Linked DNA regions of Styela clava. The protein of the gene in region 1 purifies or fractionates together with the protein of each later gene. This does not show direct contact. Links are inferred from orthologs where the notes say so. Each region holds a gene or a part of one and is shown on either strand. Other genes may lie near its edges. The genes, in order: E3 ubiquitin-protein ligase MARCHF5-like, dynamin-1-like protein and mitofusin-2-like.

Region 1 (7,414 bases):
ATATTGATGCAACAACTCAAAAGTTGTCAGCTGATTAATTCCGCTGGTCTAATATTGCAAAAATATAATCAACCAAATCAGTTATGTGGATATTCTATATAATGTTGTAATATTCGATTACATATATATAATCCTCTTTTCGTGTATGACCCAACTTTGAACTTGCATACTCCGAAATAGTTTTTTCAGAAAGTGGCTGTGATTAGCATTATATTGAATCCTATCCATTTTTTTTTTTATTAAGTAAAGCGCAATTCTTTGTAACCTTCGAATTAATAGATAATTTTGAAACTCAAATTAGTATTCTATTCACAATATAGTAAGTGAAGTTTGAGTTCAAATATTCATCCCTCTACATCCCTGATTGTAAAATTTTTACTATATTTTGGCTAATTACCACAAATACATTAGGTCCACTTCCTATCAATAGCACTGCTATAGGTATTGGAACTATTCAAAAATTCAATATTGCTCGAAGTTGTTATTATATTTGATATATTCAATTACCTTTTGAGATTTTTGTTGTTTGATGAAAATGTTTTAAATGGGTACAACCGTTCCTCAGTACACCCCCTGTAGACACTAGAACTTAGATCTCTACAGACCCCGATTTGGTTTCAGAGTTCTATTTTTCATCCTTTGTTAATTAATGATATTAGTTATTTAGATATTTGATTACAAACCCCCTTCTTGTACTTTGAAAAATCCCTTTCAGTAGTCATTGAAATTGATCTTCATATTTACATTGTGTTTCAATTGTTTCTCATAAACCAAAGTTAATCCTATCTTCGTAAATCCAATATTTTAATTTTTTTCACTTATATTCCTTTTCATTTACCATAATAATTATCCAAATACGCTCATTGGGTATAACTACCACAATTTGTTCACCATATTAGTAATTCTCCAGACCCCTAGTAATTAATATGCATGGATCAATGATCATATGAGCGTGATAACTAACTTAAATCATTAGCCCCTTGTAATTGTGCTTTTTACAATTATTTAAGTGTATATTACTCTATAATTAGCTGTTACACACATAGTCATCCATTACCTGGGGGGAGCTGACTTGGATGACCGTATGGTCGTATCGCTCCCTCCAGTCTCTACCATAAACAGTGTTTATTTATTTGTATTTATGCTTTCATATTTATATTTGTTTTGGTCGACGAATCAATAAATCTCTCTCTCTCATGCAAACTTGTTTGCTCGGTGAATTTATTAATCGTTTTTTTTTCATCCAGATGCAAAACAAATTATTCAAAAAGATGGTAAAACCAAGTTTATCAAGTGAAGTTGTTGAACTCATCGCATTAGACTCTGAGGTGAGCAAATCGACTGGTGCTGAACTTGTTCGAGTGGATATCTTCAAAGATATTTCTCCTATTGATAAACAAGAATCAAATGGAAGTTTAGAGCTAAAAACTGTGGATGAAAGTACTGAAGTTTCACCAGAAGAAGTGAATGTGGTTTTACCGATATCTGAAAAAGCACAAATTGAAAGACTGCACACAATAGAACCACGAAATTATGAGAATTCCGCTGAAGTCGCAAGCGTTGATGTCAACGAAAAGACCAAAGATTCTTGTGAAGTCAGCACCCATGAATCTTGTGATGCTGGTATGTGTGATAGTAACAATTCAGAAGCTGAAAGCGAATCCCATTCAAATTGTACAAAAAGTTTCGAAGACAAAACCAAGACAAGTACAGATGTGGTAAAGACAAATGATTGCGGCTCTTCAAATCATCCAACAACAGCAGAAAATTCTACACCTGATCAAGGTAGTTAAAAATGTAACAGAATGTATCCAACTTTTTGGTGAGATTTTGTGAGGAGGTGGTCCATGTTGTCGGAGATTTAGCCTTTGTGAATGAATGTTCTGACTAACCTCTGTCATGTTCCTGCACATTTCTGTATATGATTTTGTGGTAATAATGGTGTCTTCTTTGTTCAAACCACTTTTCTTTATCATTGACAAACTGGATTCAATCCAGAGGCAATTCACAGAAAAGGGCCAATTTGTTTTTATTTTTCACTTCCTTTCAATTCAAATCATGTACTTTTCTTTCTATATGTTGCAATTGCTTCCTTTGCGTCTCTATTTCATACAACACACCCTTAATTTCTCTACATTAATATCTCTCGTTTTCTGATTTTTATAAAGTTTCAAATAAAACAAATGCTTTCAAAAGCCTCGTTTTTTATTTAGAAAATATATATTTATATAGACAGGAATCGATACACAAAGGGGGTTCTCTGTCATGACCAGGGGTCCTTGATTAACTGGATTTCTGTTTACTACACTTTTGAAGACAGTTTTTCATGGTGGAAACATATAAAGTGGACCTACCCACTTGGGTCTAAATACGCTCTTCAAAATATAGGCTGTAGGTCTGCGCTGTGAGCATAATTTTGGTGAACAAAGTGTTTGGATCTATATACGCATCATAACTTTCCTGCTTTGTATTTTCATCCTATTTAGCCAAAAGGTAAATAATCCCCAGGACTAGTCATGACAGAAAAGTGCACATAAAGGTAACTACGATGGGTCATAATATTGAATGAAAATTGTGTTTCAGTAGAAGAATATCCCGAATGCTGCGACGACACAAAACATGGATTTCTGGAAAACAACATGATTGTTTTAAAAATTGTAATACTTTTAAATAAATTTATTCTAATTGTCGTAACCAAAAAATTTGGACGTTTACTATGTGTGGTTCATATATTATTGAAACTGCACAATTTGAGTAAAAATGGTCACTCGTGCAAAACAACTAGTCTCACCAAAGACTAAACCAAAGATAATCAATTTCAGTACTTACATTCATAAATATATCTTGTGCGTAATTGTCTGTATCTGAATCCCAAAAACATCTGCATCCCATTTTAACTCCTTCACCTCGCTGTTCGCCAATAACAACTTGCACCACAAATTTGTATCTGTCATACCCCATTGCTGAATGGAAATATAAAGTGTTGAAAACTAAAAATTCTGCGACCATTCCATGAGATAGCAAGATTAATTGGTACGTCAACTATTAGAGATTTTCTTGCTATGGGATTAGAATATTTCAGAAAAACTTTGATATACTGGTTTGTTCGGACTTGTCACTTGTAGACACAGGTTCAAACCCCACTCATGTGTCAGATGGAAATGATAATAAATAAAAAGAAATAACATAAAATAAATCAAATTTTCTACTAAGCAAGGAAATAGGAATATAGCCATTCTATAGTTTAGTCATAACTGTACTTGTACGAAGCATCATCATTGGCCACAGCATCTCTGATTACCCTGTGAAGGTTATTTATGTGTGAGAGGATTGCTGTACTACTTGTCACTGTAGGGTGGTTCATGTACCACTTGTCAGTTACGACTTCCCCCACCATCAAGTCCATTCATCTGAAAAAAAATACCTGGATAACTAATCCCACTCTCGACATGGATTGGCAATCGGATGAGAAGCCGTGGTTTGCTATATGATTAAGCCATCTTATTGTCTTCCCTCTCCCCTGGGATAATTATGTAAATTCCATCCTATACCATAGTAATTTTATATAATGTTGAACGGTTCCTTCAGACAGTCAGAAAAAGGATGGGATAGGATTTAGTTACATACCGGTATTTATTCTGGGGAGAGGAAATCATTATCAAATATCCATATTATAGCATTACCTTTTAACTTGGCTTTTGTATTATTACCAATATTTTGTACCCATTCCGCTACTTGTTCTCCATCATAATCTTTACCATCAAGTTCTTCTTTAACAACTTCATGAATAATTTCTTTCACTTCAGCTGGTTTAAATCTTTGTAGCAAAAAGTAAAATAAATCAATCTCTCTTTACAAGAATTTAATGAGCTGCAAAGCCTTACTTCAATACTTACTTGTGTTGGAAATTCGGCCTGATTAGATACGTATTTTCATGTTGTTGCTGCTGGGGAGCCGTTTCTTCAACTTCAGCTGACATTGCGCAGTTGTTTGAGTTGCGGTACCAGACTATCGAAATTGTTCACCATCAATTAAACTAATTGTAGAATTTAATCAAATCTACTAAAAAACATTCAAATTTGTCAAATCTGATGAATCCAAAGGCCAAACACGACCGAAACCGAAGGACGCTTTGACACCCGTTTAAGCTATAGGCTAGCTGTATAAGGCCAATGACTGTCATTGATAAGGCCAACGTTTATTGTTGCTATCCAAAGCAAGCTTGCCTTGGCAATAAATCGTTTACTATTTTTAACTTATGTATGCTATACACGAAAACAAATTCTGGGTAATTTTATATTTATTTGAATAATTTTTAATTATTTTTAAATAAGACTATAACTTATTTTATACCTCATTTTGAGTTACTGTTAAATAATAAGTGATTTATCATTAACGAAAGACATACATATAAAATGCAGAGAGAGAGAAAGAATTATTATTTTGTCTTATCAGGAAACGAACATTGCAACGATGGAAAAATATACAAAATACGCCAAGTCTGTAAGTAGTGAGGGTTGGAAATCTAACGACTTTAATCTGTTACCGGTACCGGTACCGGTAATGGGGCAGATTTTTGTCCGAACATCTCAGTACTGTATACCTATCCAGGTAGCCTATCTATTCGCAAACTCTGAAACTGGCCTTAGCCCAGTAGCCCAGTGCAGTAGTCTACGGTTCTGCTTTTTCCTATCACAGTTTACCGGTACCCGTACCGTACTGGTTTGTGGTACCGGTGAACGTTGGAGTAAATTTTGGCTGGCTATGGTCAGATTGTAGCTGCAGTACGGTATACTGGTAGAATGGACTGACTGATATTATCTGATACTTCAGCATTTGAACTGATATTTAATATTTTGAAACCACTCATACCGGTATCTGCTTATGGCAGTATGGCTATGGGGTGGTGCAAAAAAAATATTTTGAAAGCAGCTGGAAGTTTGGACCAGTCTGCCAGTAGGTTACAAGCCTACAACTGCTGAACTGTCTGACTGTAAAAAGGCATGAATTAGGTGGTTCAGAAAAATGTTGGTGCTGCACTTTCGGCGCAAATTCATCAAACGCAGTGCCTTATTAAAATAATATGGCGAGTACCGGTACGGTACCTACAGTACCACTGTACCAGGTTATCGAACGAAATGTGCGATTATGCAAAGGACCAGTGCCAAGGGATCTGAATTAGAATTGGGAAACACTACCAAAATTCTGCGATTTATCTTACCTTTTAATAATTAATGAATCAACGATGATTGACGCAGAATGCAGCAGCTGGTTGTGAACATAGCTTGCAATTTTTGTAGAAGGCTACAATTGTGGTGTACGGATTTGCCAGGCATGGTAGCCTAGGGGCCTCGACATCCAATTTTGAACTGTTATTCATTTTAAGTCGTTTTTAAATTTTAAGGCTTTTACTGATTCAAAAATTTTTTTAAATTGACATTCATTGAATTTTTTATTTGGCTTAATGCTTGTCGCAAATATATTCTGTTTACAAAATTAACAATTAAATACGATCGAATGAATGGATTGTTCCAAATTTCCAACTTCACCCCTTCAACTAAACAAATATACTACTTCGAAATAAATGAACAGTTTTTTACCATAATAATTCCCTCTATTTATTGAAAAAGATGATACAAATCGATATATAGCTATACTCATTCATCTAAGCAATATTTAATCTAAGAATTATTTAATTATTTTATGATTTTCGGATAGTTTTTTAACAAAGACCCGTTTATTACGAATAACTTTTTTATTAGTAATATTTTATTTATAAGTAGGCCTACCTGGGGCCATGGCCCCTCCCTCACTTTTCCGCGACCGTAAATGGTTGTTATGAACCCTATCCAATGCCATGATTTTATTACAGCCTTGGGTTTTTGAAGAAGTTCTTAAATTTAACTTACTATCCAATCTATTCGGGTTATTAGCGAATGTATATTGCCTGTAAATAAAATTTCGTATAATTGATTCTGTGAAACGTTGTGACGTCATTGTTGAAGGGACATTACAAATGAAATAGGCCTAGCTTAGTGGCCTCTTGCTGTCTAAATACAGCCCTGCCTGTACCCCATAGTTCATAACATTTATTGAATAATCATAATATAGTGAATGCCATAACTACTTGAATAATGGCAAACAAAAATGTGATATGAAAATAGAGCCCATAGTTTTATTTTTTTTAAGTAACAGTCTGTCTTGTGGGTAGTATACTGGTATAGCAGGATGAATGCCTTAACTGCTTAAACGAGAATATCGGTCAGAGACCGAAGACTTATCGATTGAAGGTTAGGGGATGCCCCAAAACAGCGCTCTTACTCCATAGTGACACCATGTGTCCCATCACTAATTAATTAATAACTAGCTAATTATACGACATAATTCATCGAAAATCAATAGGCTTCTGATCCGAGCTATGATGATACACACGCAAAATTTGGAGCTGATTCAACCTCGCTTTTGTGAGATATCGCGGGCATCTAACAGAGAGACAGACAAACAAACAGACAAATACCTATCAACATACTTACCGATCTTAAGATCGGTAAGTAATAACGCTATTAGCCTTGAAAATTTGATTCTAATTCCCTAGCTTAGGGATCACCTATCTATTCATAGTCTAATGACCATATCTGCATAATTATCAGGTACATATATGATGGAGGAAGCTAATGATTCCTCAACTTCTGTTGGGACTGGCACAAGTGAGGATCCTCAAAGCTCAACATATAGAAGTTGTTGGGTATGTTTTGGAACAGATGACGATGAACATATGAAATGGGTGAAGCCTTGTCGTTGCAAAGGTACGACAATGTGGGTCCATCATGCTTGTTTGATGAGATGGATAGATGAAAAGCAGAAAGGCCATTCTTTTACTAAAGTAAAATGTCCACAATGCAACACTGAATATGTTGTTGTTTTTCCACCTTTTGGAAAATTGACGAGTTTTATTCAAACGATTGATCACATTGTGTTTAAAGCTTCACCCATTGCGGCAACCGGAGTTCTTCTTGGATCAATATATTGGAGTGCGGTCACTTATGGAGCAATCACAGTAATGCAAGTTTTGGGCCACAAAGAAGGGTTAGATATGATGGAGCGAGCAGATCCTTTATTTTTACTTGTCGGCCTTCCTATGATACCAGTCGGTCTTGTCCTTGGAAAAATGATACAATGGGACGATTATCTTTTGAGGTTATGGAAGAAACACTCTAGCAAGTTGGTTTACTTGAAAAAGCTGATTTTTGGGACACGCCCTTCACAAGAAGGAACTTCAACCATACTTCCTCCATCTCCAGTAGAAATGCGACAGACAAGAGAAATCAAGTTTACGAGAGTTCTTTGTGGAGCTTTGATCTTTCCAACCGTTGCAACTATTTTCGGAAAGCTTTTGTTTCACAGCGTTGAGTCG
Region 2 (7,585 bases), on another chromosome or scaffold:
ATATCGAGTTGACTACGATTTATAACTCCTGTTATAAAAATTGTAAAATGATAATCTAATAATGTTTTTCCATCTTTAAGCTAAATACTCATGCTTTGCACTTGCCTATAATTCCTAATTTGACAGGGATGACCCTTCCACATAGAACATCAATAGCATCAGTACCAGCATCCATTATATCTAGTTTTGTGACAACTGCAAGAGTTCTTCTTCCTGCTGGATCAACTTCAAGAGCCATCTAGATTCGATAATATCAAAATTGTAATGAGTATACATGGCAAACTAGGTAGAAGTTTCTTATTTCTATACAAGGTTTTTTCACTCTAAACATGGCTCTGTGCCAGCAGATCCTGATATGTGAGTACCGTAGCTACTGTATGACCGAAATTGAAGAGTCCGAGTAAAAATTTCCTTTAATCTGGAGCTGAAGTCGTTTCTTCATATAGGATAAAGATGGATTCGGGTGTAAATTTTCCCATATTTCACATCACTGCTGGTAAATTTGTTGAAACATACCTTTATGGCTTCTGAAGTTGCTATATCCGTGTTTGCTGGAGAAACAGCAAGAATTATTGAATTTGGATTTGAAATGTATTGTAATATCAATTCTCTCACTTGTGCTTCAATGTCTTCAGGTTGGTCACCAACTGGAATCTGATACAGGAAGTAGAGATGATTATGCATTGAATATGTGTATCAAAATTAACTTACGGTATATTACTACCAAACCAAAATTGATTAATGAAATACAAAATTACCAATAAATGTTACTTATTAGGTTTACAATGATTGGTTACGTTGATACAATGTTTAATGATCGAATGGGATTTGCATAATGGAGCTATTTCTTTTACAATCCAATTTTTTCTAGCTTGGCCCATAAATGAACCCTGTCTCCTATAGTTTTCAAAAAATATCAACTTTTGTGGGAACAAATTATGATTTTAAAATTCAATTTTCTGTCTGATTTCAGTGTCAAAAGCATTGAGAGAAAATTTTCAAAATACAATTTCTAAATAGTATAAGCTGCTCCTAAAATTAAGAATTTATCATATTTTTTCATTTGTATTGGATACCAATTTTTGAAACATTTGCATTCGATTAATGAAACTAGAAACTACTAAACTACTAGTATTACTTGAACAACAAATTTGATACATAATTAAATTTTCCTTGTTACTTGATATTTGTATTTAACATCTAAAAATACAGAATCTTTCAGCAAAAAAACAATGTTTTAGAGTTTTTTATGTATCTTTAACAGAAAATAAAAAAAAAACCTTCGTGATTCCCGGGAGATCGACCAGAGTTAAATTCAGAACACGAGGACTGAAAATTTTCAAATTAATTGGATCACTGCAAATAGCTTTATTTGTTCCACCCATCCGTTCAGTTTCGTTTTCGATTTCCGTTCGAATTTCATCAAAGTCTGTATACATTTTGTCTTTTGTATGCAAAAATTTTCCCCACTCTTCATGGCCATGGTTGAACTTTGAAGATGAGCCATTTACATGGTTTTCCAAACCTGGTTTTTCATTTTCTTTATCAGAATCTAAAATTAAAATATGGCTCATTTGGAGGAAGGATTGGTAGAAAACCAGAACCTGATTTACTGTTTTATTTACCTTCTTCTGAATTGTCATCATTTTCTTCCGTTTTATTTTTTCCATTATCTAAGTGCACGAGTTGTAACACGAGAGGTCTTCTTGTAACTATACCAGTTCCTCTTGGTAAAAAATCTCGACCAACCAGATTCTCAAGAACTGAACTCTTTCCACTACTCTGAAATGTGTTACACAATATTGATGATGAATAATTTAATCCATTTTGGGCACTAAGATATATGACACTTTCAAAACAATCATAGATGACATTCTGTTCAAATGGTAAGCTTACAAGTGCGATGCCAATTTTGCATTATTAAAAATGGTGGGTAAACAAATGCTGGGTAAAAGACCCTCAACTTGAGTCTTGAGTCACCCGAGTACCAAGTCTATTCGTCTATTCAATCACTGTATCGAGTCTCAGTGACAGTTGGTTGAGTATGAGATATTTAATTTTGATGACTTGAGTCACTTTGAGGCTTTGATAAAGAGTGACTCAGGTCGAGTCAATTACTTGGGCTTCCCAACAAAGTACTCAGAGATTCAAGAGGACTTTCGAACCATATGCATTATTTTAGTTCGCATATGAATCACTTACCTGCTAACGTTTGGCATGCATTTGGGGTAACGATGGGCAATTATTTTTGCCATGGGGTCACATTGCAAATTCAAAATGTGGTAATGTGCCAGACTAAGTGAAGCCAACCTACATTGCACGCTTCAATGTATTTTATTACACATTCAAATAAAACAAGACATATTACAAATGTTACTTTTAATGAAATGAGTGTATTCTTTGCTGCGTTTTTACAAGTTTTTCAATATGAGGTTCAATGGCAAACGTTTTCACTATATTCAAAATACTGGAAAGCAAAGAGCTGACTAGTTTAACGATATCCCGCTGTGTTAGCACACGACTCACAGATTCAAAGAGCAACTTATCAAGATTATACAAGAAAAATTCATGCTTCAAAAACTCTATTGATCAGTGATCATCTGGAAAAAGAGCTGACCATTTTCACAAAGTTGACTGCAGAAAGCAGCTGGTACACAGGTACATCGTTACTAAATCACTTGGGCAGCAACTTCAGAACTTGCCCAAGCCTGACCTGGGAGGTAGGCTATGACCGGTAAACATGTGAAATGCTATTTTTTGGTCCGGTTATCTAATGACTGAATGAAGTGCAATTCCGACTCGTTCATAAAAAATCATTCAAGTTACCTGGGATCCAACCACAACTATTTGAGGCAATTGTATTGAATCTGAGCCAATGGTGTTAAAAATATCTTGAAGTTTGTTGATAACTGGAATTAACGCTTCCATTCTTCAGTGCTTTACTTCCCGTCAAATTTCTCAAACTGCTAGAGACAAGCTCTTAGACGCACACTATATGTACAGCTATAACAGTATTACACTATTACGTGTATCAGCACTGCATAGCCAAATCTATAAATTCCAACAAAGAGGACCTTCTGTGGTTACAGGTTTAAAAACTATTGTGCTTTTCTGACGTGTGGTGGCGCTAGTAGTTCTTTAGCATACGGGCGAGATTTCAGCACTTGTCGGAGTTTTGCTTGCTGGCCGATTTTATACAAGAAAATGTTAAATTGGTAAAAGAAGGCCAAAATTCAAATAGTATTTTTTATATTCTTCGTCAGTTATAAAAGAGAATGAAATAATATTGGCAATGAAAAAAGAAAAATTCACAAACATAGTAAAAATGGAGAATACTTCGTGTTTAACCCTCTCCGGGCCCCTTTATCTTTTGGCAGTGGGAAAAATCTGATATTTGGTGAAAGCAATACTTTTAGGTCATATATGATGAATTATTAAAAATTTTCGACACTCCGATTTCCTGGGGTGATTTACCGGATGTTGCACTAGTGAAACTTCTGCCCAGAAAGGACTAATTCTAAATGATCACATGTATGTTGTTCAATCTGCAATACTTTATAACATGACCGGTTTGTATATTGATGGGATTGTCAAACTTGTTTCATGGCTCAATTTAAAACTTCAATTATGATTAAGAGGCGCAATAAAATGTAAACAAATGTTAATATAGATCATGTTTTTGCACTCTTGGTATTTTCTCAAGTCAAAATATTTAGAAAATGCATATGAGTTGTACAATGACACTTTCGTTTACCCATTTCTTTAAATCTATTTGGAAACTTTGAATTCCCATATATATTAAAATGCAAGAATATAGAAAATCTATCTTTTACATCAAAATAACTTTGCATTTACTTGCCGTTATGCATTTTATCGGAGAAAGAATTTTTAGCGTGGAAGTCATTTTGACTACGCTACGCTGAGAAAAATTAACCAAACCAAATTTTTTGGTAGCAGGAAAATCGTTGGCCATTTTTTGTGTTTTAATTTGCAGTTTTACGATTTCGATATTTTATGAACTGTATATCTTCTCTTTTTACTTTAGACTCTCGTTTAAATTTATCGACTGATCCTGCCCCCACTCTGAAAGACGCTATAAAAACACGGTCAACCGTAGTTTTCTGCAGCATTTGTGTTCGGACCAATTCCATTTTTGTGTATACATTTATTGTGTTACTCAGCAATTAGTATATATTAGTTTATGGGGTTGTCAAAAATTCGGAGCAGAGAAAAACTGTGCTCTCCCGAACGTTGAATTAGCTTTTATGTTTATCGGGGGGAACGGCGAAGCACTCGGACTTTCAAAACACGACTAAGTTTTAACTCTAGATTCGTTTTTAGATAACTATTGTCTGTCCATATAAATTCCAACAGTCAAAATGCTGGAATGGTCTGATTTTTTAGGCTCAAAATCTTAGCTACATAAATATCGTTCTAGAAGTTAGGTGTTTTATCAAGATCAGTCGCAGGTTTAAAACATTTCGATGACGATGAACTAACTGTTCAATATTTCAGTGTGTAATTACACAACAATGACGTAATGATTACGCTAACAAAAACTGGACTTGAGGTAATAAAACATACCACATTTAAATAAAAAGGTAAGGTAAAGCCAAGGTAAGTGAATCGGTACCTTTTCAATCTTTTTCAAGTATGCAAAAAGTACAATTACCACATCTTTATAAAATTTCGCGAGGGTAATAAAGCTGGACACCGAATAAACATACAAAAGCAGTTAACATTCAGAATACATTTCTGTAATTTTGGTCAGACTACGTCTTGTTCGTTGGGCAGCTTGGCAAAATTCAGTTTGTTCAGATAATTTTCCTCACTTTCTGTTTTTTGAAAAGCTGTCTGACGTTAAGATGGGATGGCGCATGATTGGCATAGAGCAGTGGTCGGCAAACATTATGTACCTGCGGGGCAAATATACACATTTGCGGTAGCGTGTGGGCCGCATTAATTTCCGCCTGCGAACAATCGCAAATAGCTGCAAATTCCGCAAAATTGTATTAAAAAAAATTGAAAATTTTTTTTTTCAAAGATGGTGGTCATGGTTCCTCAGAAAATATCGACGGGCAAGTGTGGCACAAGAAAGGAAACAACATTTTATAACAAAGTCTTTCCATGTGGATGGAAATAGCAAAATTTTGGGCGAAATACCTGATTTGGTAGCCTACTGAAGTTCCGAAATTTATCAGAATATTATTTGCATAGAAAACGATTTTTTTTCACTACAACATCAATATGAAGAATTTAGCGCAACGAGTCATAAGTCCACTCAATGACATTAAACAACATGATAGGCAACTCTGACGTCACTCCATAAGACTACAGGCAAAACATTGTATTTCATGATACGCTCCAATGCACATATTTCTCGTCGCCTTTCGCGTCCGTTTTCTCGCTCGCTTTTGCTACTCGGCGTCGTTTTTACGTGTAGTACCTGCCTTTTTGCGCCTGTAACGAAACAAAATAATCTCTATATCTAAGAAGTTTTGCTTACTTGGAAAGCTGGAGTAACAGGCAAGCTGTAAAGAGCAATTCTGGACATCATAGACGTTTTTTTATCAGAGAAGATTACAAACGCGATAGCGGAAAGATTTGTGTGGAACATTTTGCAGATAATGACAAAGTTCAAAGTTGGTAATTTTAATGTTTGCGCTTAATCATTGAAATTTCATTTAAAGAGGGTGTCATACAAAACTGTGCTGCGATACAATTCCATAACACAAAGTTTGCACCTATCGAACTTGCTTTTGTAGGTGAATTTATTAGACATATTACATATTCAGTTAATCGTAGGTAACATTGCTGGTACATAATGCATCGTAGATAGGTTTGTTTAAATTTAGGAATTTAGCTCATAGCCCACTAATTAATATTATCTTCTATGCAGGAGGTTGCAGGGCTGAATTCAACTTGCAGCCTTACCGATCACCTGACGATGCTCATTTAGTTTGGCTCGAGCAAGTCTTCTTGAAATGCTTGTGTGGATGGAAACTACCTATATTTTTTGCCTTCCTCCGATTTTAGACAAATTTACTCTGAGGGATTTCGCATATAATTCTCACTGATTGTTGGCTGTTTATAATTTCTATTGATTGTGAATTCTGATTATAACAATGAGTTGAAAATTTTTTTACCTAATTTACTGGCACCTTTTTCTTGTCAATACTCCAAGCTGAGGTAATAAACATGACAATACATTTATGTCATCTGGAAGCAAAATATGCACACTAATTAATAGTTTGGCACATTGAGATAATACATCATGACAGAAAATACAAGTTAAAGATATGTATGACCATCACATGGTAATTAAAATTAAAAAAAAATTAATAGGGGCTGCGGAGTATGGAAAGTTCAAGACGAAGAAAAGAACAAATGTTCATAGCTCATGAACTCTCAATTTTGCCTCCATTGCTTTGTGAAGGCCAATATATTTCGAGTGGCTGAATTGGTTTACCTTTACGATAGCAACGATTTTGTATTTTATATAGCGAGATTATTTCAATTTAATTGAAGTGATATAATTTCCCAAAGCAATGCTTGAATCGTCTAGAATAGATCAGTGGTGTCAAACTCATGGGTTTTCGAGAGCCGCATTGCATTTTGAAAATTGTAAAAAGAGCCGCAAACAGTTTTTGATAATGTATACTTAAAAGATATTTTTAAGATAGTTTTAGTTTGTGACATATATTGTGATGCAACTAAACAGTTATATTAAGTTTTATTATTTTCTTCAATTTCAAATGCAATTACATATTAATCTTTGCATTCCACTATTATTGCAACATTTGCAAGTTACAGTATTTATTATAAAAAATCGTAAAATTCTATGTACAACCATCAAAATCATTTTTGAACAAGCTTTGAATAGGGAAAGAATAATACATACACTAAAAATAACTTAATTTAAATATATGAACCTAAAATTAACAAAAATACTACAGTATAAACTCAATGTTTTAATAATTACATTTGTCCTGGCGTTTGGCATCTTTTTTGTGTCACCAGCATACTAAGGCCAGTCTGAAATGATTTTATAGTACCAACTCTAACTAACGAGGCCACATGATCATGGCTTTATCTGGATCTTTACGAATGTTCAATTAATTCCAGTAATGCAGAAAAGTTACTTTTATCATTTCATGTATAGATCAGTAAAAAAACAAATGACAGATTTTTTCGACAAGACATTTCGCACTACATTGCGTGGCATAGGATTGCTTGAATTATTATTGATATTGATTTTTAGTAACTAAGTCGTTGTATAATTATATTAATATACAAACACATGGAAATTTTCTGTTCGAAGTTGGTCTTCGAATTTGTCATATTGACTGCTGAGCTTATTGTGTTTTTTGATTGTATTGACGGAAATATGACAAATTAAACAATGTGCTTCAGAATTTTGTGAAGAGCGGAAATGTTACAACTCCCATTTTCTTCGAAAATGCCACCTTCTTCATGTACTTTGCGTTTAATTTAATTACTCAAGTGTTTTATTCAAGTATTCTTTTGCTAGCTTGATGTGTATTCTTAATTGGGTCAAAATGTGGACAATAAAATTAATATTCCT
Region 3 (7,525 bases), on another chromosome or scaffold:
AATTACAGCATCAAATTTTAACAGAATCATCAGACATACATAGCTATGCTTTATTAAATGAAATTATGCTCAATTCTGACATATCATGTATGATTCATTTAAACATCATCCTATATTACATAGAAAAAATTAAAAACCTTGTAAGCGTTGCAATCTAGCATTAAGGGCTTCTTTTGCAGAAATAAAGAAAACTCTATCTTTAGCTTGCTGTGGGGTAACAACACCTAGTTCTTTTGCCAAAAATGATATTCCACGTTCCAGATGTTGTTGTCTCACCTATATAAATTGCATACAAACTTCAGAATTAACATCTTTCTAAATTGCTGATTTCAAATTTTACGCCTATCAATTCCTATGACATTTTTTGTCCATATTAGGGAAGTGTAATTGCCCATGGTTAGAGCATCAGATTAAACAATATTGTCATTACAGGTTATGCACTGCTTCAAATTGGGTGTAGGCAAAGACAAACAAGAAAGACCCCTGTCCTTTCAAAAAGCAATATACTTTTGCATAAGTGACTGCTAGTACAGAGAATTGTTCAGAAGTGAGGTAAAATATGACTTATATAAACAGAATAGTTGTCATCATGTTTTTAATAAATATTCAACATATCATTTCTGGTCAGGTAGGGCAAGGTGGAGAATCTTTTTCAAATCAGTTTTCCAAGCATTCATAAGATGGAATAAATCATAGACAGAATTTATTTAAAATCTATGCTTTTCAAAACAATTCATATCACTCCTGGGTTTTTGAATCCCTATGGCCGTGGAAAAAAGTGTTAAATTAGCATTTTGTCACCCATAGAGCAGAAAGCTTGTTACACATGATAATTATGTACACACTTACAAATATAGGCTACTAACTATTTTGCTGTTTTCACACCTTCACCTCAAAAAAGGCTTTAGAAAGAATTAGATGATAAAAAATAAGTAGCTACTACTTTTGGGGCTAGAATCTTTTCAGTTGGTCTTGCCTACCTAATTTAATAAATCCTTGGTGAGGTATCAGTGATGGAGGTTGAATCTGAGATTTTTAACCTTTTGCAACTACACAAATCACTAGATCACAAATATGAGGTTATGAATGAAATAGTGAATACTACATTTACTCTGATGAATTAGGTGTTTGACATATTTACAGACATTCCGAATTGCTCAGCTCAAAATAGAAGCTCAAATTATAGATAATTTTGAACATATCAAATGTTACCTGAACCGTAAACAAGATGGAAAACTAATATAACTTCGATCAAGTCCTACCTGTTCCATAAGGTCAGGTTCAGCAGCTGATGCATCCCATCTATTGTTGAGTATAAATATATTAGGCTTCGATAGACGTTCGTTTACTTTATGAAAGAATTTTTTCTCAGCCAACATCAAAGTTGATTCAGCATTTGCAACAAGAATGAAAACATCTGCATCAAGGCAGTAACTATAAGAAAAATGTTAAGTAGGACATTTCAGACATTAAAAAAAGTATCAATATCACTGACTACATAACATTTACAACTGTAAAATGAATTGCATTGCATTTGTTGTAGAAGAGTCATCAGGAAAAAAATAGAAAAGATGAGTAAAGATACTGTGTCTTTGGATAATAACTAATTCACAAGTTTACAGATTGTGTTTAATTAATTAATGTTTAGTACACAATACAATGGAAAAATTGCTTACGCATCGATCCAACTATCCATATCTTCAGTTACGTCAATACCAGGACTGTCAACCAAAACAACTTCATTTTTCAATAACGAACATTTATTTTTGGGCCAGCATACCTGGAATATGAAATAAATAACAGCGATATAGTAGGAAGTATAACATTAGAAGGACGTTTGATAAAAACAGAAATATTTAATTTCATAAATCATAAACAAACCTTAATCAAACTGTCATTAGACATGCTTTCCTGACTGAGTGCATGTCCTAATTGTGATACGCTTTTAACATTACGCTTCTCCTCTGATCCATCACAAAGTAAATATGGTCCATCTTTGTCATCACATCCTTCTATTGATAAGAAGCAATTGGTCGTATGACCAAGTCCACTCGGCAATATTTTATCCCACAGCATAGCATTTATTACAGTGCTTTTTCCATTGCTAGTTCTTCCGAAGAAAACCACCTATAATTATATTTAAATAAAATATACAAAAAAGTCAGGCTTTTACCTTTTACACAAAAATTAGCAACCATGCTTGGAATGAGAACAGTAATTGACTTATAATTGAAGTTATGATATGACATACAAGAGTATGAATATGTATAATATCTTGTTGTTTCATTTCACAGCTTCATGAGAATAGATAATGTTAGACAAATCACATAATTTATCCTTGAATAAATACCTTCATATGATCTCGGAGTAACATCTCTTTTATTCCATTTACTTTTTGAGCGCATGTTTGAATATGATCTACCAATTCCTGTGAAAAATCGCAAAAACTAAATTAAAAGCAATAAGATTGTAAGAGGGCTAATGAGATGCATCTAGGAATGCAGTCAGGGTAATATACTTCAAACCATGTTCAGTGTTCGTCTCTATGCTCTTGGTGGGGATATTTCAAAGGACTGAGATGATCGTAAACTGAGTTAACTAAACCTATGTCTGTACCGGTATGTACTCAATATAAGAACCAGTTGGAAAACTTACCTGATGCACAAGTTCATTCTCTTCAACATCCTTAATTTCTTCTACAAAAGTATGGAATTCACTGACATAATTTCCTATGTCTCGATAAATCCCATTTATTTTCTTCTTGGCATTAGTGAATAATTTTAATGGTGAAGACGCATCACCTCCGCCGCCAAACCCAGACTTCAACATAATGCCTCAATAAGCAACTGATTTTGGTGATTTCAAATTTAAATGCTACAACAATGGCCTATATACAGATATATAGGCTAAAACAGTCACAAAACACAAGCGGCTATGAAATCCATGAAAGCTGAAGCATGCTAATGCTGTTTTGGTTAATCTGAGTATTTCAAGAGTCCTATTCCCCGACCTTTGACCCCGAAAAAATCTTCCTATACTTTACTCAATGACATTAAACAACATGATGCGCAACTCCGGCATTTTTGTCCGAAGATCGTATTCGATAGCACGCTCCAATGCACATACTTGACGAGACGAAAACGAGCGGATGTGTGCTGCTTTCAAGGCGTAGCACGAATGGTGTTCGTGCCTGCTTTGACAGTTGTTGTCGATTTTAATGATATTTTGGAAAGTTAAGGTAAAAAGAAATCGGAAAAAGGTAAGGTAAATACTATTGTTGTATATCACACCCGGGCATCGCACTGTTAAGTACATGTGGGAAAGTCAGCCTTTGTCAAATACTACGAAGTTATTAATTCAGTACGGTACGTGGTTGCCCATTTGCCGAAATTACATATTTACTTACCCCTTATGGTTTCAAATAGTTCATGCACCTCCAGTTTGATTTTTTTAATCAGTGAGGATATATACTCATTGTTGATTGCTGCTCATTGTAACATACTATTGCGCATTCACTTTTATTTGCGTATTGAATCAAAGTGTTAACAAGTCCACCTAACATTTCACTCATACCGGTCTATATTGTATAGTCTGATCTCTCAAATATTTGGAGCCACGAATGCTTGTAATTTTCTGACTAAACCCTTTTATTAGTTTGTTTTATTGACCAAATTCAGTAAAATATTTTTTACATAAAACATGAGATATTGGATTCATTAGCTTTTCCATTCTAAATCATATAGACTGCTTTATTTATTCTTAACGAAAATTAATAAATCTCCTCTCTTTCTTCAGATGTGAAAGTTGTGGACAAACCTGTCTAAGCATTGTGAGACTCCTGCAGCACAAGAGGCAATAGCAGAAATAGTAAGTATATCAATCAAGAAATTAAGCCGACATAAAGCAAAACTTTCAACTATTCGTCTAATCACAATTTCCTATTATTTATTCACAGGACAACTATAGCAGAAGGGGAGATATCAGAAGTCTGGCGACATATCAGTGACATGCAAAGACACTTGACCCTCCGGTAAAGTTGTGTATGACCCCTACATCCTGCAGGGCTTGAGGAAAATAACTAAAAATTGCAAAGCGTAAAATTACATACTCGGTCTTATTTGTAAAAAGGCACAAAACACGCCAGACACTTAAAACAGCTTTGGAAAATGAGGATTACGGGTAACTCACTGCACCTGTGTTATATTTGGTTCATCAACTTTTGGTAGTACGATAGAAGAAATTCCGGAAGGGGTATAATCATCATTCATGATAAAATACTATCATATATATTTTTGGACAACTTCAATCTAGACCAGAGATCTCAAACTCGCGGCCCCAGAGAACTTCGAGTGCGGCCCTCGAACGCTTAACAATAATTGTAATAGTATTTTTTTTTTTATCTAAATGTAATAGATTTTTCAAACCTTTTAAAGTGAAATTGATTATTCACACAGAAAACAATTTACTGAAAGTAGTTTTGGAATATGATTTTTTTTTGTCCACATTTTGACCCAATTAAGAATACACATCAAGCTTGCAAAAGAATACTTGAATAAACACTTGAGTGATCAAATTAAACGCAAAGTACATGAAGAAGGTGGCATTTTCGAAGAAAATGGGAGTTGTAACTTTTCTGCTTTTCGCAAAATTCTGAAGCACATTGTTTAATTTGTCATATTTCCATCAATAAAATGAAAAAACACAATAAGCTCAGCAGTCAATATGACAAATTCGAAGACCAACTTCGAACAGAAAATTTCCATGTGTTTGTATATTAATATATTTATACAACGACTTAGTTACTAAAAATCAATATCAATAATAATTCAAGCAATCCTATGCCACGCAATGTGGTGCGAAATGTCTTGTCGAAAAAATCTGTCATTTGTTTTTTTACTGATCTATACATGAAATGATAAAAGTAACTTTTTTGCATTACTGGAATTAATTAAACATTCGCAAAGATCCAGATTAACCCATGATCATGTGGCCTCGTTAGTTAGAGTTGGTACTATAAAATCATCTCGCTATATTAAATACAAAATCGTTGCTAGCAAACCAATTCAGCCACTCGAAATATATTGGCCTTCACAAAGCAATGGAGGCAAAATTGAGAGTTCATGAGCTATGAACATTTGTTCTTTTCTTTGTCTTGAACTTTTCATACTCCACAGCCCCTATTAATTTTTTTTAATTTTAATTACCATGTGATGGTCATACCTATCTTTAACTTGTATTTTCTGTCATGATGTATTATCTCAATGTGCCAAACTATTAATTAGTGTGCATATTTTGCTTCCAGATGACATAAATGTATTGTCTTGTTTATTACCTCAACTTGGAGTATTGACAAGAAAAGGTACCAGTAAATTAGATAAAAAAATTTTTAACTCTTTGGTATAATCAGAATTCACAATCAATAGGAATTATAAACAGCCAACCATCAATGAGAATTATATGCAAAATCACTCATAATAAATTTGTCTAAAATCGGAGGAAGGCAAATAATATAGGTAGTTTCCATCCACACAAGCATTTCAAGAAGACTTGCTCGAGCCAAACTAAATGAGCATCGTCAGGTGGTCGGTAAGGCTGCAAGTTGAATTCAGCCCTGCAACCTACCGCATAGAAAATAATATTAATTAGTGGGCTATGAGCTAAATTCCTAAATTTAAACAAACCTATCTACGATGCATTATGTACCAGCAATGTTACCTACGATTAACTGAATATGTAATATGTCTAATAAATTCACCTACAAAAGCAAGTTCGATAGGTGCAAACTTTGTGTTATGGAATTGTATCACAGCACAGTTTTGTATGACACCCTCTTTAAATGAAACTTCAATGATTAAGCGCAAACATTAAAATTACTAACTTTGAACTTTGTGTCATTATCTGCAAAATGTTCCACACAAATCTTTCCGCTATCGCGTTTGTAATCTTCTCTGATAAAAAAAAACGTCTATGATGTCCAGAATTGCTCTTTACAGCTTGCCTGCCATTCCAGCTTTCCAAGTGAGCAAAACTTCTTAGATATAGAGATTATTTTGTTTCGTTACAGACGCAAAAAGACAGGTACTACACGTAAAAAAGACGCCGAGTAGCAAAAGCGAGCGGAAAACGGACGCGAAAGTCGACGAGAAATATGTGCATTGGAGCGTATCATGAAATACAATCTTTCGCCTGTAGTCTTATGGAGTGACGTCAGAGTTGCCTATCATGTTGTTTAATGTCATTGCTTTACTATTGTAAAATTTTCGGGACTATTTTAAGAGTGCTTTTGCGAGTTGGCGCATGTAAAATGAAGTACCGGTGTGTGCTTCAAACCATCAATATGAATCATCGCATACAACAACATGTTTTTTAAAAGTACCGGTAAAGAATGTAATAATTTTTCTACCCTTGATTTCTATACCGGAGTGTAGAATATTATCCAGAATAAACTCGATATTTCAGAGTACTGTGTTTACTTATAACTAATCCCATACCCGACTTGGAATGGTAACCGGACGAGAGGCCGTGGTTCGCCATATGGATAAGCCGTCTTATCGGCTTTCCTCTCCCCCGGGATAAATATGTAAATCCTATCGTATCCTTCATGAACCAAAAAAACAAAATACATTGTATACACTAGGGGTAGGCCAAAGAAAGATAAAAAAAAAACTACATGAAAGGTCATGAACTCAGGCACTGAATCAAATCAACATAAAATATGCAATATCACTACAAAGAATTTTAGCCTAGCCTATCACAGCTATTTTTACACAAATTTTTTATTATTGAAATTAAATTACAAGAGAGCTACGCCCAAATATATGGACACGTCTGTTCGCAGTACAGTACGGCTTACCGTACCGTCAGATCACAGTCTAAAATATATTCACACCAAGCGAAGCAGTACAGTAGGACACAAAATGGCGTCCGATGTCTGCAGAACGTTTAATGACGTCATAGCAAACAAAAACAAAGCTCACAGAGCTAACAGAAGTATTTAAAATGAATAAAAGTAATAGCCTTCTGGGGAAAAATTTTATCTTCAACCACTGCAAATTTCAAAGCCATTGGTCCAGTATTCGAAGAGAAAAGCGATTTTTTTAAAAATGATGGAGACAAATAATGAAAATAATAACAACAAGAGAACTACACCCAAATATATGAACACGTCTGTTCGCAGTACAGTACGGTTTACCGTACCGTCAGATAAAGTCTAAAAATATATTCACACCAAGCGAAGCAGTACAGTAAGACTTCCAACTTTCGCTAAGGCGGTACGGTAACGTCCCTGCAGAAAAGAAAACCAACATTATTGCAATACTGTACGGTACAGTACTGGTAACGTAGTAAGACAGCGTAAGGAAAAAATCGTAGCAAAGTACCGTAAGGACTTCGTTACGAACCATCGACGTTCGATGGCACGTGATCAAAAAGAAGAGGAGTGTCGGCTATGCGTCCACAGAACGTTCGGTGACGTCATAGCAAACAAAAACAAATCTCACAGAGCTAACAGAAATATTTGAAATAA

The links.
Region 2: the proteins of E3 ubiquitin-protein ligase MARCHF5-like (region 1) and dynamin-1-like protein purify together in Homo sapiens (affinity purification with western blotting, with the first as the bait; 3 studies listed by BioGRID). This does not show direct contact. The link is inferred for Styela clava from reciprocal best matches to the Homo sapiens genes MARCHF5 and DNM1L.
Region 3: the proteins of E3 ubiquitin-protein ligase MARCHF5-like (region 1) and mitofusin-2-like purify together in Homo sapiens (affinity purification with mass spectrometry; 5 studies listed by BioGRID and IntAct, counting the BioPlex papers as one, with this or other methods). This does not show direct contact. The link is inferred for Styela clava from reciprocal best matches to the Homo sapiens genes MARCHF5 and MFN2.

The regions. Positions count from the first base shown.
Region 1 is NC_135256.1:15,199,935-15,207,348, reverse strand, and holds the start of E3 ubiquitin-protein ligase MARCHF5-like, read left to right. Parts: upstream 1-4,374; 5' UTR 4,375-4,415; coding exon 4,416-4,503; intron 4,504-4,561; exon of another isoform or gene 4,562-4,611; intron 4,612-6,650; coding exon 6,651-7,414. Other genes in the region: uncharacterized protein LOC120328307, read left to right, coding at 1,248-1,793; dynein light chain Tctex-type protein 2B-like, read right to left, coding at 2,580-2,627, 2,830-2,963, 3,684-3,817, 3,897-3,979. UniProt on the Homo sapiens protein: Mitochondrial E3 ubiquitin-protein ligase that plays a crucial role in the control of mitochondrial morphology by acting as a positive regulator of mitochondrial fission and as an important regulator of immune response.
Region 2 is NC_135258.1:11,927,069-11,934,653, forward strand, and holds the start of dynamin-1-like protein, read right to left. Parts: upstream 3,101-7,585; 5' UTR 2,929-3,100; coding exon 2,827-2,928; intron 1,783-2,826; coding exon 1,626-1,782; intron 1,553-1,625; coding exon 1,281-1,552; intron 655-1,280; coding exon 517-654; intron 239-516; coding exon 106-238; intron 29-105; coding exon 1-28. UniProt on the Homo sapiens protein: Functions in mitochondrial and peroxisomal division.
Region 3 is NC_135255.1:2,491,178-2,498,702, forward strand, and holds the start of mitofusin-2-like, read right to left. Parts: upstream 3,002-7,525; 5' UTR 2,830-3,001; coding exon 2,656-2,829; intron 2,429-2,655; coding exon 2,351-2,428; intron 2,128-2,350; coding exon 1,882-2,127; intron 1,781-1,881; coding exon 1,677-1,780; intron 1,435-1,676; coding exon 1,263-1,434; intron 277-1,262; coding exon 138-276; intron 1-137. UniProt on the Homo sapiens protein: Mitochondrial outer membrane GTPase that mediates mitochondrial clustering and fusion. Mitochondria are highly dynamic organelles, and their morphology is determined by the equilibrium between mitochondrial fusion and fission events.